Linked DNA regions of Rattus norvegicus. The protein of the gene in region 1 purifies or fractionates together with the protein of each later gene. This does not show direct contact. Links are inferred from orthologs where the notes say so. Each region holds a gene or a part of one and is shown on either strand. Other genes may lie near its edges.

Region 1 (3,216 bases):
GCTGAGCACCACTGAGCTTTGGCGCGCAGCCACATGCAGCTTGCCACTGTAGCTCTGGCCTTGCAAATACACTGTAGATGTCACTTTATACCTCTAGCTTTAAGTTAACCGGCATGGATGTGAGCAGAATGTCATGGCCTGTTCAAGAGGAAAGGTGACCTCAGATGCACCTGTCTTCAGCCTGTGCTTTTGTTCTAGTAAAGACAATTAAAACCAAATGGAGTTGCTCCTTTTTGAAGTTATTGTCACAAAAACAGGTGTGCCAAAGACTGTCTTGAGGCCTGAGGCTGCACCTGGCTGGCTGTGGACCCTTGCTAGCTCAGTCCTCCTTACAGAAACTCAGATGGCCACCAGTGTGGACATGCTGGTCTGTCTGCTTTCAAGGCACTTGTTAGAGATAGAGGCATGTTGGGTAGGCTGAGCACTTCCACTCTTCCTGGCAGGGACCCAGGCCTCCCTGCAGAACTTGCATGCAAGGCCAGAGAGACCTGTCCAACTGTTGTGGGATTCACAGCTCACATGGGGACAGGTGCAGACGTTGGGGCCTTGCAGCTGCAGGAGGGCTGACCGTCCACCCCTGTCCCACAGCATACTGACTGGAAGCGGCTCGGGAACAACAAAGGATGATAAGGCAGGTTGCTGTCATTACTTCAGGATACTCCATCCTCCCAAGACAGACCTTGGACCCCTGAGCTAAGGCCTTGAAGAAAAGGACCACCACTGTTCCAGGGATTAACAAATACCTATTTTACATGATAACTTTATACATATTTACAGAAAATTGGGCAGAATAGTCCATCCTGTCCAGAGAGCCTGTACAGCTGTTCCTCATATGGGGGTCTGCAGAGTCTGCTGCCTCAGTTTCCCTTCAGGTCCTAGGCATGCCATCCCGTTGTCCATAGGCTGTGCCCCTCTCCTTGGTCTCCAGGAAGCAAAGACAGAAGTGATCCTTACCAAGGAGGGCCAAGGAATCCCCACTTAAATGCCAGCACAGTCCAAGCACTGGAAAGTCACCTAGAGAGACAGGTGGCCAGAGGGTTAGGAAGTAGGACTTGTGGGGAGGGCGCCTGTGGATGAGGGAGGAGTCTGGTAACCCCAGGGCTGAAGACAAAGCCAGGAAAGCTTAGGGTGTAGGTTCCTGTCAGGGACACTCTAGGCAAGGCCCTGCAAGATATGGAGGGGCACCTTTCACAAATGCATGACATGGCAGATCAACCTGAGGCCAGCATATGCTGGACCACCATGTGCTGGCTTATGCTCACCTTCCCCGGGTACCTGCACCGACACACAGCCTGCTGGGGACCACAGGTACACCTTGCTTCCTCCTGTGCAGATGGCCAGCCTTGGTTGCCGTGGGTCCCACTGAAATGAGCGCACTGGAGACATATGCTCTAGGACCACAAACAGCTTCAGCTTCTGAATGTCCCAGATCCAGACAGCATTGGGGACATTGTCTGCAAGGAAGCAGAAAGAAGACACATGTGAGTGCTGGCCTCTGAAGCAAACCCTGCTGTTCTCTGGGACCAGCACCCAGAACAAAGGAAAGGCCGCCCAAGGCCACAACCCTTCTTTTTCCTGTGGTTTTTACATCTGTAGATGTAAAAAGTGCAAACAAGACAGCCCCCCCACTCCACTTGTTAGGGGATCTACATGAAGACCAAGCTGCACGTGTGCTACATGTAGGGGGCCTAGGTCCAGCTGGTGCCACTGGATCCCCTTCCCCTACCTGGGTTTAGTTGGGCCTCAGTGGGAGAGGATGTGCCTAGGTCTTGCTGGGGTGGTAACCAAGGGTGGGGGTGGGGAGTCGTCCTCTGAGGAGAGTGAGAGGGGACAATGGTGGGAAGGACTTGTAAGGGTGGGACTGGGAGGAGAGGAAGGAGGGGGCGCTGTGGTCAGGATATAAAGTAAATAAAAAAGACAAACTATCAAAAAGGCACGCACCCCCCAAAATGCAAATAAATCCAGAACCATAGAGGTCAGTGCTGGCCCTCTGTTCCTGCACAGTGAGGTAGGTGTGCAGGAGGGGGCAGTCAGGCAGCCAGGCAATGCTGTGCAGAATGTCTATTTCCACAGAAAATCAGGGAGAAGAGCACACAGCTGCCCCGAGCTGTTTCTCCATTATCTCTACTCTTGGTGTCAAGGGGCTGTGAACAGCGGACCCTGCCTATGAGTGTCACACTGACCATTTCTTGATGCCAGGAAGTAGCTGTCTGAGCTGAAAGCCAGCATCCCTACACCCATCCTGGGGTTCGCTCTGTCAGCTACCGGCTTCAGAGTCTGCAAGGAAACTGGTCCTGAGGCGATCTCATCTGCAACACCGACAGGGAGGAGGAGGACATGCTGAGGGCACGGGTCAAGGGGAGAGGGCAGAGAGAGAGGAAAGGAGTACAGGCTGCCTGCCTGCCGAGATGCATGCAAAGAACGGTTTGCCGGCTGGAAGGCTGAAGAGCACAGCTGTTGTTAAGAGGTTTAGTCACACGTCCCTAGGGGACAACAGTTCCAGGGCCTTCAGGGCCCCAAGTGGGGATAAGAGTGCAGTCAGGAGCTCCCAAGGAAGGGTATAAACCTGCTCAGGTCTGCTGTCTGAGCTACTCCCAGCTGCTTGGACATCTGGCCGTTCTAGCCGCTTCCAGCATCTCGGGGCACAGATGGTCCCCCTTTTCCAGCTGGGAGTCAGGGACTATCAACCAACAGATGCTTAAGTAAGTACATGGCACTGTGAGCAACCAAAACCCTGGCTGCCTGCCACCCTCCAAGCAGGCACGCCCTCAGAGACTACAGAGCAGGGAGGGAAGGCAGGCTTCCCAAGAGAGCACCTGTGATCTCTACGCTGCACACAGGAGGATCTCTACGCTGCACACAGGAGAACACCTGAGATCTCTCCGCTGCACACAGGAGAGCACCTGAGATCTCTACACTGCACACAGGAGAACACCTGTGATCTCTACGCTGCACACAGGAGAACACCTGTGATCTCTACGCTGCACACAGGAGAGCACCTGGGATCTTTATGCTGCACACAGGAGAGCACCTGAGATCTCTCCGCTGCACACAGGAGAGCACCTGAGATCTCTACGCTGCACACAGGAGAGCACCTGGGATCTCTCCGCTGCACACAGGAGAACACCTGGGATCTCTACGCTGCACACAGGAGAACACCTGGGATCTCTACGCTGCACACAGGAGAGCACCTGAGATCTCTACGCTGCACACAGG
Region 2 (4,345 bases), on another chromosome or scaffold:
TGAAAATATGTACACTCTTGGAGGCCCACTCCAGGGGTGGGACCATTCCATCATGTCCCTTGCATGGCCAAGCTGGACTCAGCGTTCAAAGAACAAAGGCATTAAGATGTTTTTTGAGATAGGAAAAAGAATGATGTTTTGGAGAGTAGACAAATGAACTTTCAGAACACCCTTTGGGTGCAGAGAGAGCAACCACACCCCATTAATGGTCTGACTTAGCAAGTCAATCACTGGCCGTAATTCTCACTAGCGCTGCTCTCCAAAGCATTTTTGTAATGATGTGTCTGTCCTTGCTACCTGTGTTCAGCATCTAATCTGTCTCCCTCCTCTTCTAACGCTCATGTCTGCACTCTGATCCACTTCTCAGCATTGAGGGTATGTGTAGTTCTTCTCTCTCGTTCTTCTGTGGCAGTGAGGTATTCCTTGTTTTCCTTTTATGCTGTTTTGGTCTCAAATTGTTAACAGGAGCCACTTAACCCCAAACTTTTTTCTCCTCGAGTAAACACCTCGCTAGAAAACCCCAAACTTCTTTTTCTCCTCGAGTAAACACCTCGCTAGAACTCCACCACCCCGCCCTTTACTATGGATTCTCCATTTTCCTTTCTGGAGGAACTTTTGGTAGAGATAGTAGGGAGGTAGGTGGATCTGGCCAATTGCAGCTGTCATACATTTTCTTTGCACTCAGTGAGTGGGCCTAGGGAGTTTTTCCATCAACTTCTAGTTCACAAGTACTGTTGTTTCTTCATTTCCCTTTCCAGCTGTCTCCTCCCTAGGTTCCTTTCTTTGCTTAATTTTATTCACTACTCGAGCTTTACTAGCCCAGGCTAGCCTCGAGCTCCCAATGACCTTGAACTTCAGTTCTGCTGGTTCACAGACCTGCAACCTCACGCACGCTGTGTGCAGTCCTGCGGCCTGAACTCGGGGTTTCTTGCCCACTACCCCGGCTCTGGTTTTCCACTGATTTTTGTGCCATTGGTGTGTTGATTCCCGAGGCCACTTGACCTTCCTTCTCCAGTGCCTGACCCAATTCTGGATGCCCGTTGGTGTCTCTCCGATCTGGGGAGCGCACCCGGTTCTCCTTGGGAGCGTTGGGGTTCAGGGTCGCCTCGGAGGCCGGGCTCTAAAGCGGCTAGGACCCTCCTCTTGTCCCCGCGGAGAGCTAGGGGCGGGGAGCGGCGGCCTGGTGAACCCGGGTGTAACAGGTGCGGTGGCCGCAGCTGCGCGGGGGAGAGCGGCTGGGGTTGTCGTAGGCTAGTCCTCGCTGGACCAATGCGGGCCGCGGTTGTTCGTCGCCTGGCAACCGGCGGAGCCAATGGGCGGCGCCAGCGCAGGGCGGGGTGGGATGGGCGCCCGCGGAGGAAAGCGGCGAGAGGCGGGCCGGGCGGACCCGGCGGGCTGGAGGCTGCGCGGAACCGCTGCGTGCCGCCGCGGGTGCGGGCCCGCGGGCTACGGGAGGCGTGAGCCGCTCCCGGTGCCGTGACGGTGAGCGGCGGGATTGTGACGCGCAGCCGGGGAGGGCGCCGGGCTGGACGTGGGCGCATGCACCCGGGCCGGCACTGGGCGGGCTCGTCGCGGCCGTTGCAGCGGTTGGAGAGCGTTGCTGCCAGCCGCCTGCAGCGGGAAGTGTGAGGTAGGTGCTGGGGACCCCGCGCCCTTGCGGGATTCGGCGGGGGCATGCGCGGGGTCCCTTCGGCCCGCGTGGGCTCGGCGATCCCTCAGAGGCTGCCGTAGGACTTAGCGAGTGAGGTCCGCCGTAGGTGGGTGCTTCATCGTGGTCCAGCCCCACGTTTAGGGGAAGAACTTACATCATCGCAGGGGTAGACTTGCTGGAGAAATTATTTGGCCTCGATTTTTCCAGTGGTGCACAGTGAGTGAATGGTGAGCTCTGTCTGGTCAGCACGTAATTTCTCCTAGTGCAGGTCGCTGGGTTATGCAAGTCACCTGGGCCCAGGAAATAAAACTTGCCAAAAAATTCCCCATCAGCACCAGTAGAGGAATCTTTTCATTAACCCCCACAGTGTATCAGATCCATAACCGGCAACGCTGATGCAGTTGTGAGAACTGGGAGTTCCTTCTAGACTGTATGAAAGGTGGAGTCCAAGGATGAGAGCCTCCTGGATTTAAGGTTTGCTTCCATTCGGAATAGAGTCCAGGCCTGGAGTCAGCTGGAAATAGTGCTGCCGTGGAGCCCGCAATCCGTGGAAGGAAATCTTTCTAGTCCATAATTTGATCTCGAACGGAAAGGTCCGTATATGACGTGACACACATTTACGAGGCTGGATAAAATTCGAAATGGTCGCTCCAGCCAGCAAAACTTAATCCATCCAATCTCCTTACTCCCCAAGAGCTTGTGGGCCCAGGAAGCGTAGTTTATTCAAACTAAACAAGGCAAGCTGCCATCCCTGTCGACACTTGGTCCTGCCTGGTGTGCATGAAAGTTCCTCATACAAAAAACGATTCTCTGAGAGGAGGATTAGGAATGGATAGAATTCAAACCAGGGCGTTTTTCTGGTGACTGCTGGGGCCCCTACAGCCTGTCATTTTACACCCTTCCTTTCCTTCTTGTTCTCCAGCTGTACAGGGAAGATAATAGGCCCAGGGATTAAGTAACCAGGCTGAAGCAGCTTGGAGATAACTGCAGAAGCTGGGTCACTCCAGGATGAAACGTGAAGCTTACTCCATGACACATTGAGCCTTGTGACAAGACCTGTTAAGTCCATAGCATCCTCGACTTGCTCAGGCAGGTGTACAGGACATGGAAAAGTTAACTGTTCCTGCTGTCCCTGAGACCTCAAACCCAGCCCAGTCAAATTAATGTACTTGGCCTCTCTTAAAAGTGGACAAACCAGCTTGTTGGCCCAAACCGGTTAGGATATACTGAATGTGCCCTCACTCAGCATTCAGCTAGAGGGGGTGGCTGGAGGGAGGGGAGGTGGACAGGGAGGGAGGTAGAGAGAGAGAGAGAGAGAGAGAGAGCGCGCAAGAGAGCAAGCAAGCTTGCCTAGAACTGTGGCTGCCCCAACCTTTTACTCCAGCTACCAGGAGACTGAGGTGAGGACAGCTTGAGCCTAGGAGTTCCAGACCTAGTAGAACAACACACACATCCTACTTAAAAACAAGCTCCCTCTCATTCTGAATGCCCTCACACAGTCCCTGGGGAACCAGACCAGGGCCATGGACATGCAAGGCAAGTGTTCTGTTGCTGAAACCCAGTGTGCCTTTATTTTGAGGCAAGGTTGCCTTGTTACTAGCTTGCCCAAGCAGTCTTTGAACTCCTGCCTCAGCCTCCCAGTAGCTGGACTTATAGCCCCGTATTTCTAGGCTCAGTTTCAAGAGCGAATTTTAGTGATAGCTTCCTGTATCTTTTACACTAGCTGTGAACTTACCTTGCTGGCTTACCCAATTGTTCATAACAAGAGGCTGTGTGAGTGTTCTGTGTCTTTAATTATGGTTAGGTGCTTATGAGCATACAGCTTACTTAGACTCATGAGCTTCTAGGATGAGACAGTACACCATCCGTTATTAGTAATGGGAAAACCTAGATTTATACGGTTTGATGCTGGTCCAGTATTTTGTGTAGTGTAGGAGCGATTCACTGTATGTTAATAAATTTATTCTTTCAGTAAACATTTATTATCAGACACTCAGCTGCCAACTGCCAGGCCTAAGGATAAAAAGATGTGTTGCTCTGAATATTGTTCTGGGGGGTGGGGTGGGTTGGTGTTGTGTGGAGAAGGGGAGAATGCAAATGTGGGAGGGCCTTAGCAAAGAAGGCATCTCAGCTGTGTCCTGACAGGCGCTCACCAACTGGTGCGAGCAGCCAAGCAGGTGCCGGTTACAGGTGGTTGGTGTCCTTGTGGCTGCTGCGTTAGTGACAAGCATTAATAACAGTGCTGTGACCCTTGACCAATAAGGAATATCCACACGGTTTTGTTGGGGATTATATTGCTTCTGATGTAGAGTATGTCTGCCCAAGTTAGTAATTTGCACAGTCTATGGGCTCTGGACCTTGATGGTCTAGATAAGACCTGAAAGCTTTCCCCAGGCTTAACTGAAGCTGACAGGAGCCTTAACAGTGCAGCAGTGGCTGCTCAAGCGGGTCCTCTGTGCCAGGGCTGGAGAGCCAAAGGTGATGAAGATGCAGCCACCATGGAATCCAGTCCCAGCCCAGGGCAGGCCCTGAGGGATGGGAGGTCCAAAAATCTGGGGTGGGAGCAGTGTGGGATTCAGAGAGGAGACTCTGGGATCAATAGCAAGTCTTAATGGAAACTGAAGAGACTGACTACAGTCCTGAGGTTGTGCGGCTGCATGCTTCTCCTTCCTCAGTCTCCCTAGTCAGATACTC
Region 3 (3,730 bases), on another chromosome or scaffold:
GACCATTGGCGTGATGGACAAAGAAAAGGACTTTCTCCAGGAGACTGTGGATGAGAAGACGGAAAAGATCGCCAGCCTGCAAGACAGCCTCATTAGTAAAGTATGTATCTGCCACATGTTCTCAGCCTCTCAGCAGGAGAGCCTGTTACTCTCCACTCGAAATACACAGTTCTTACAGCCCTTGACGAGCTCCTGAGACCCACGGCTCTGTCTGTGACACACCTTGATTTCCTTCTAGCCTAGTAATCGGAATCCTTATGTTGGGATTTTGTCTGTTTCTAGAATGTGATTTGGTCTCATTAAAGCACACTTTGAGGAAGCCACTAAAGCTCTTCAGTGGTTAGAGATGCCAAGATGAGACACATAGATGGGCATAGAACTGTGTTTATTTAGAGGCTGCGTTTATGTGTAATTTATGCAATTGCACTTACCTAAATTTAGTTGATTATGCAAATTTAACTGAAGATGATTCTGAATGAATGACTAAAAAATCTTTTGTTTCTGTAATTTCTCCAGGAAAAAGCTATTACCCAGTTGAAGGTCACAGTCTCGGAGTGTGAATCGTCACTGAAGTGAGTAACCGATGAATGGTGTTCATGAGAAATCTCCAGCAAATGCGGCCTTCCTACTTAGCAGAGCCTGGAGCCAGGACTGCTTTCCTGTGAAGTTCCGGCTTTGCCTGTGGCTGCCTTGCTTCCTCAGTCCTGCTCTGACTTGCTCCCTGCTGCTGTTGGATGGCATTGCCTTCCTGCTTTACCCACTTGCTCTCCATGCTTACATAGTCACCTGTTCAAGTCCCAATAGCTCAACTTAGATAGTTTTAATGGCCAGCTCTTACATTTGCTCCTCAATTAAACCTATATTGATTATCTTAAATTTTTCATAATTTGTGTCTGGTCTCCAAAAAGATTTTAAGCTATCTAAAAAGAAAAGTCACTAATCATTTATTCTATGTGCCTTTATGTTTTATATAATAAAGGCAATGTAAACACTAAATATTTAATGTGGCTTTATATTGTATTTTCTAACACCTGAAAATGTTACGTTTGCTTAACTTGTATAATAATAATATTTATTTTGTGGCTCTATTTGTATATAACGGTTGATAGGAATCTAAAGTACCTGAGTATTTTCAGCCATGTCCAAAGGCAGCACTTAGGCTCTCCTGTACTCGCACACATATTGAGACTGCAGTCTTACTTCAAGTGACCTGGAGTTTTCCATAACAGTTTATTGCTACCCCACCACTCTTTCACAGCCAACTACAAGAAACTTTGACTAATCGAGACCGAGAGATAAACAGCCTCCGTCGCCAGCTTGATGCAACTCACAAGGAACTTGACGATGTTGGGAAATCTAGAGAGATCTCTTATAAGGAAAATAGAAGGTTACAAGATGACCTGGCCACAATGGCGAGAGAAAACCAGGTATGAAAGCAGGCAGAGATTTTTCATGAACTTATTACGTTTTGCTAAGTATTAAACTTCTAAATTCATTCTTCCAAAATGCAACAGGAGTGAATGCAAACAGGCTAACTCCTTGAGGGGAATGGTGTCTGTTGGCGTTAGCAAAGGTAGTTCTCAGAAAACAGCCAGCGCAGCGGTCTAGTCAGCGCAGCTACAGTCTCCTTTTCCATCTGGAGTTGAACCTCCCTGCTAGGACTTGGCTTGTTTGTTTGTTTGCTTGTTTCTTTGTTTAGACACAGGGTCACATGTAGCCCTTGAACTCCCTGTGTAGCCAAGGGATTCTGACTCTGGTCTTCTTCTGTCGCCTCTCAAGTGTGGGGATGGAAGGTATGTCATCAGGCCTGATAGCATTTAGTGTTTGCTACTAGGAAGCATGGTTTTTGTTGGGATAGACGGTATTGTCACAGGACTGGGTAGGGCACAGCATCACTCACTCTTAGGGCACCTCTTCTTAAAAGATATGAAGGACCGTGACAGGCTTTAGTAATTTGTGCTTCCTTCTATTGTCTTAGAGATGGATCTGTAAACAAACAAAGGTATATTTTAAAGGGCAGATATTGTAAGGTTTTGTCTATACTGGTTTATTACAAGATTATGCTGTGGAGACTGATGATTTCTTTTATGTAATATAAAAATTACTTTCAGTATTAGTCAATATCAACCATATTATAGTTATATCAGTTTTTTAATACCAACTACTGGCCCTGATTTAAGTTCAAATACAAGGTCAGAACTGTCATGGGAGTTTTATCACAAAGTTTGCTAAAAAAAAGTTTAGATCAGGGCTGGGGCGATGGCTCAGTGAGTAAGGGTGCTTGCTGTGAAATGAAAGTGAGATGTTCTGAGTTCAAATCCCCAACACCCATGCAAAAGGGCTGGCATGGCTTCCTGTGACCTCAGAGTTGGCCAGCCAGCCTCACTGAAATGGGGAGCTTTACTTTCAGTGAAAGATCTGTCTCAGGAGAATAGGGGGAGGATGGCAGAGAGCGATAACTGGCATCCTCTATTCTGTCTGCACATCAGCTTGTGCACCTATATACATAGGCTTTCAATGCACACACACACACACACACACACACACACACACACACACACACACACACACACACACCAGGCTAGCCATGGAAAAATAACCCAGTAAGAGGCTCTTCTTCCCCACATTTTTTTCTTCAGTTCCAAAGGCACTGTGTGCACATGACTGCAGGCTGACATTGGCTCTCTTTGCTCTGCTGACTTACAGGAGATCTCACTGGAACTGGAAGCAGCAGTGCAAGAGAAAGAAGAGATGAAGAGCAGGGTTCACAAGTATATCACTGAGGTGTCACGATGGGAGAGCCTAATGGCCGCGAAGGTGAAAAACTGTTCAGCTGGCATTTGAGACCAGCTTTTGTGTCTTTAATTCTGCCTCCAGCATTAAATGTTGGACATTTAAGGTTGGATATTAGATATTTAAAAGTAGAAGTCCTTCCTACTAACTTTATATTTCTCCATAGATCTTAGCATAGTAGCATAGTATCTATACATGTGCTGATGTTTCCTGAATTCAAGTAGCTCCCAGTGTGTGTGTGTGCACGTGTGTGTGTACACGTGTATGCGGTGTGTGTGTCTGTGTGTGCATGTATGTGCGTGTGTGTGTCTCTGTGTGTACACTCGTGGATGTGTGTGTCTGTGTGTATATGCACGTATGTGTGCACGTGTGTGTGTCTGTATACAGGTGTGTGCATGTATGTGCATGTGTGTGCATGTGTGTGTGTCTGTGCATGTGTGTGTCTGAGTGTGTGGGGCTGTGCATGTGTGATATAGATAGCTGTTCCATTGACGATACTGCCATAGAAATAATGTAATTGTTCTTAAAACAGGAAAAAGAAAACAAAGACTTGCTAGATAGATTCCAGATGCTTCACAACCGTGCTGAGGACTGGGAGATCAAAGCTCAGCAAGCGGAGGGGGAGAACAGCTCAGTCCGCCTAGAGCTGCTGTCTATTGATACAGAGAGAAGGCACCTGCGAGAGCGGGTGGAGCTCCTGGAGAAGGAGATCCAGGAGGTAAGGCGGTGCTGTCCAGGAAAGATGCCACTCAGAATGGACACATGAGGGGCACGACACACAGTGAGGCTGACCCCAGCTCAGAGCTAACACCCTGCTACTGTCACACTCTAGAGGGTGCCCCGTTCCTTTTCACAATGGTAGAGACAGGCGGCCATGTCACCACTCGTTAAGTGTGTGGTCCTGTGCGTTAAGTACAGTCTTACAGTGTGCCAATCT
Region 4 (3,730 bases), on another chromosome or scaffold:
AGGAAGGACTTCTGACACACATGACATCTCTGCCTGGGCACAGACGCTGATCTCGGAAGATAGGAGGACCATGGGGCCCTCAGTCTATCCACATGCTCTGCTTGAGTTTCAGTTGAGAGACCCTTTCTCAAGCAATAAGACAGAAAGTGAGAGAGGACACCCAATTGTCATTCTTTGGCTTATGCACAGCATACATACATGTCTATACCACACACACACACACACACACACACACAAATTTGGTAGCCTCTGATGTGCTGTCTGGAAGCAGTATTTGATTTTAAACCATTTAGTCTTTTTTTTCATGTGAAGATACCTGTGTTATAAAGTCTGTAAAGTAAATGTAAGGCTGTCACTTTTGCTCTTTGCATTAAATAAATATGCTACACAGTTTTCCCATTTAAAACATGCAGGTTACTTGATTATACCAGAGTGGTTCCAATCAGGAACTCACAAATACGTTTGCAGAATGCCCTCCCATCTTTGTCCACATTTCTAAAGTTCTCTTGAAGAACTATGGCTTTGCTACCAACTATATTTAGAAGCCAAACATTTTTTTTTTAACCAAGAAAAACTCTGACATTGCTTAACCAAATTCTTGTAGTAGCAAACTTTGTCTTACGATGACGAGGTTTGTCCCTGTGGCTTTTGTCCTGCAGTGCGGGAGCTGAAGGCAGTGTGCTTTGGGACTTGAGTTAATTGCAGTGAGGGGGTCAATATTCAGCAGTTGTATCTTTTAGAGCCCTTCCTACCCTGAGATGTGATGATTCTGTATTTACCTTTGCTCTTGTCTGCTTCTGTCGGGAGCAAGAGATCATACGAGTGCTATGCTGGGGAGAAGTTGGGCTAGGGGTTGAGGAGGTGGCGCACTGAGTGGCTCTCTAGGACCCACAGTTGACTGTACAGGGTACTGTTCCTGACAACTTCTTGTACTCCTTCACACAATTTACTGCTGATACATTTTCTTAGTTTTAATTATTTTTGTAATTAAGAAAGGGAAGAAAAAGAATAGTTTTTAAAAAAGCTTTCCTTCTCAAATAGCTTTCTGCACACAGACAGCTCTCCAATTCTTCTCAATCAGTTAGTATGGAAGTTACCAAGAAAATAACTAGGGCTCTGAGGGAGTTTGAAGAAGTAAAGGGATTTTTCATGGTGTCCTATGAAAATAGTTTCCTATGAGAATTCTCACTCATCATAGAATTAATGAACTGGGATAGTCTTAGTAAGTCTGTGCCTCCAGCCCCAGATGCATTCCCCACCTGTACTAGCCGCTCAAAAATTGTTTTCTCAACTGAACCCAGCACCCACACTTGACAGAAGAATGGGAAAGGGATAGTCCCAGGTAACAAGTGCATTTTTGATGTTCTTTCTCGTTACTCTCAAATCTACCCCTTCAGAAAGTATAAAAAATGTTTTTATGCGTAGTATGTTGGAACCACAAGCACTGACTTCGTATTTCAAAGTTGGAAGAAATGAGATTGATGTCCCACACAGTTGTAAAATACCGAAAATAGGAGAGCTGGAGTGAATTAGAGCCCAGTGTTGAGAAAGGCCAAGAGAAAGCTTCATATCAGCAGCGACTGTAATTGAAAGGCTCCAAATAAGTATTTAAAACCTCCCCTCCTGAGACGTCTGGATTTCTGAATTTCAAATTGACATTTTATGTTTGACAAGGTGACATTGTATAAGAAATGTATTGTAAAACACTGCTGTACGATAGGAAAATGATTGAATGTAAATATTTCAAGATGTGGACCACTGTTCAAATGTTATCATAAATCTTCGCCATTGTTTTAGGGGATAACTCTTCATGCATATGTGAGCTGGATTGATAGCTAGCTCTTGGAGGGGAAATCATCAGCGGGTTTCTGCCTTTGTCTCAGACATTGGTCTGATTTCACTACTAAAACGTCTGACTAGTTTGTCTCTATTGTGTGCTTATTATTACTTCTTATTAGGATAGTCAATTTTTGAAGGTACTACACTGGACTTGCCTTTGTCCTACTCAGTAAGTGTTCTGAAATCTCACGTACATTACTGAAACCGTCACTATTATGTGGGTGGGGGTCACTGTTATGTGGGAGGGGGACAGCCTGAGCTATATCATTAACCTCCCTCCATTCTTTCCAGGTTTGGAAGGTTTACAGTTGCTGCTCTTCAGTCCAAAGTAGAACAGTATGAACGTGAAACCAATCGCCTCAAGAAAGCTCTAGAACGAAGCGATAAATACATAGAGGAACTGGAGTCTCAGGTAGCACAGCTGAGGCACTCGGAGGAGACAGAGGAAGGCATGGGTGCCCTGTGCCAGAGGGCGCCCTCTGCAGATGGCAAGGGGCCCAAAGGCAGCGATGACGTTGCAGCATCCAAGAATCCGAGTGAAGGTGCTGGAAAGCAGGCTGGCTCAGCCAATTCAGCCTCTCACCTGGCCACACCCTCGAGCAGCAGACTAGCTGACACCAGTTCTGCCAGACAGGAGAGCACCAGCAGGACTGAACCAAACTGTCTCCAAAACAAAGACAGATACCCCAAGCCCACAGAAGCACAGCTGGGTGCGAGAGAGACACCGATGGACACTTATTTGGAGCGACAGTGGGGCAGCAAGCCAAGCGACTGCGCTCCTTACAAGGAGGAAGAGCTTTATGGTCTCCAGGCTTCCTGCACTCCCTTGTCGCTCAGCTGCCTTCAGCTCAACACTCCAGAAAACAGGGAGAACCCTGTGATCAAAGCAGGTGGTTCCAAAAAGCATGCAAACCATCTCAGAAAACTGGTATTTGATGATTTCTGTGATTCTCCAAACACCTGTAATAACAATTCTTCAGAGGACGATAGAAGTGGAAATGAGAAGAAATCAGACTGCTTTGCTTCCTCAAAGACAGAGTTTTGGGATTGTTGCTCCACAAGCTATGCCCAGAGCTTAGAGTTTGATGGTTCAGAGGGGAATACAATTGCAAATCCTGTTGGGGAAGTACCTTCAAAGTTGAGTGAGAAGTCAGGATTCTGCTTGTCCAAGAGACTGAGTTGTATTCGCTCCCTGGAAATGAACCGGACAAGGACCTCCAGCGAGGCCTCCATGGATGCTGCTTATCTTGACAAAATCTCTGAGCTGGATTCCATGATGTCAGAGTCTGACAACAGCAAGAGCCCTTGCAATAACGGTTTCAAATCAGTGGAGTCAGAGGGGTCCTCAAAGTCACCTCAAGGCAGGGAGTTTCTTGAGGAACCTGACAAGTTACAAGAAGGAGCTAAACTGAGTCTTCCCAAAAATGCCCTCGAAGCTGATGGGTTAGAAGGTGGGAGTGAGTGGAAACCCTCCTCTTTCTTTCTCCTCTCTCCATCTGACCATGAAATGAGTGAAGATTTTTCTCTCCACACTACTTCTCATTCGGGAGCTAGTGAAGTCAAATCACAAAACTGTTTGTTTCAGACAGAGTTTTCCCAGGGTGTTCAGCTGTTAAGCAGTTCCCAAGGATTATTCGAGGATCAGAGGTTTGGGTCGTCTTTATTTAAGATGTCCTCAGATATGCAGAGTCTTCCCGGCCCCCTTCAGTCTCCGTGGTCTGCCGCCTTCGTGTCTGAGAAGAGGAGCAAGAATGGGAACCAGTCCGCAAAGCGAAAGATACAGAGCAGCCTCTCCAACGCCAGCCCATCCAAGGCCACCAAAAGCTGACTCACCAGGGACATAGCCTTGTAGGGTGGGGTGTTTGCAGTGTCACCTGAGTCACTTCACGAA

The links.
Region 2: the proteins of Wrap73 (region 1) and Ssx2ip purify together in Homo sapiens (co-immunoprecipitation; 4 studies listed by BioGRID and IntAct, counting the BioPlex papers as one, with this or other methods). This does not show direct contact. The link is inferred for Rattus norvegicus from reciprocal best matches to the Homo sapiens genes WRAP73 and SSX2IP.
Region 3: the proteins of Wrap73 (region 1) and Cep135 purify together in Homo sapiens (co-immunoprecipitation; 6 studies listed by BioGRID and IntAct, counting the BioPlex papers as one, with this or other methods). This does not show direct contact. The link is inferred for Rattus norvegicus from reciprocal best matches to the Homo sapiens genes WRAP73 and CEP135.
Region 4: the proteins of Wrap73 (region 1) and Obi1 purify together in Homo sapiens (affinity purification with mass spectrometry; 3 studies listed by BioGRID and IntAct, counting the BioPlex papers as one, with this or other methods). This does not show direct contact. The link is inferred for Rattus norvegicus from reciprocal best matches to the Homo sapiens genes WRAP73 and OBI1.

The regions. Positions count from the first base shown.
Region 1 is NC_086023.1:170,001,579-170,004,794, reverse strand, and holds the end of Wrap73 (WD repeat-containing protein WRAP73), read right to left. Parts: intron 2,310-3,216; coding exon 2,184-2,309; intron 1,455-2,183; coding exon 1,263-1,454; intron 1,015-1,262; coding exon 869-1,014; 3' UTR 724-868; downstream 1-723.
Region 2 is NC_086020.1:237,956,943-237,961,287, forward strand, and holds the start of Ssx2ip (afadin- and alpha-actinin-binding protein), read left to right. Parts: upstream 1-1,521; 5' UTR 1,522-1,630; exon of another isoform or gene 1,631-2,244; intron 2,245-2,573; 5' UTR 2,574-2,740; intron 2,741-4,345. UniProt on the Homo sapiens protein: Belongs to an adhesion system, which plays a role in the organization of homotypic, interneuronal and heterotypic cell-cell adherens junctions (AJs).
Region 3 is NC_086032.1:31,905,034-31,908,763, reverse strand, and holds part of Cep135 (centrosomal protein of 135 kDa), read left to right. Parts: coding exon 1-100; intron 101-516; coding exon 517-572; intron 573-1,258; coding exon 1,259-1,427; intron 1,428-2,706; coding exon 2,707-2,817; intron 2,818-3,325; coding exon 3,326-3,511; intron 3,512-3,730. UniProt on the Homo sapiens protein: Centrosomal microtubule-binding protein involved in centriole biogenesis. Acts as a scaffolding protein during early centriole biogenesis.
Region 4 is NC_086033.1:87,685,175-87,688,904, reverse strand, and holds part of Obi1 (ORC ubiquitin ligase 1), read left to right. Parts: intron 1-2,130; coding exon 2,131-3,667; 3' UTR 3,668-3,730. UniProt on the Homo sapiens protein: E3 ubiquitin ligase essential for DNA replication origin activation during S phase.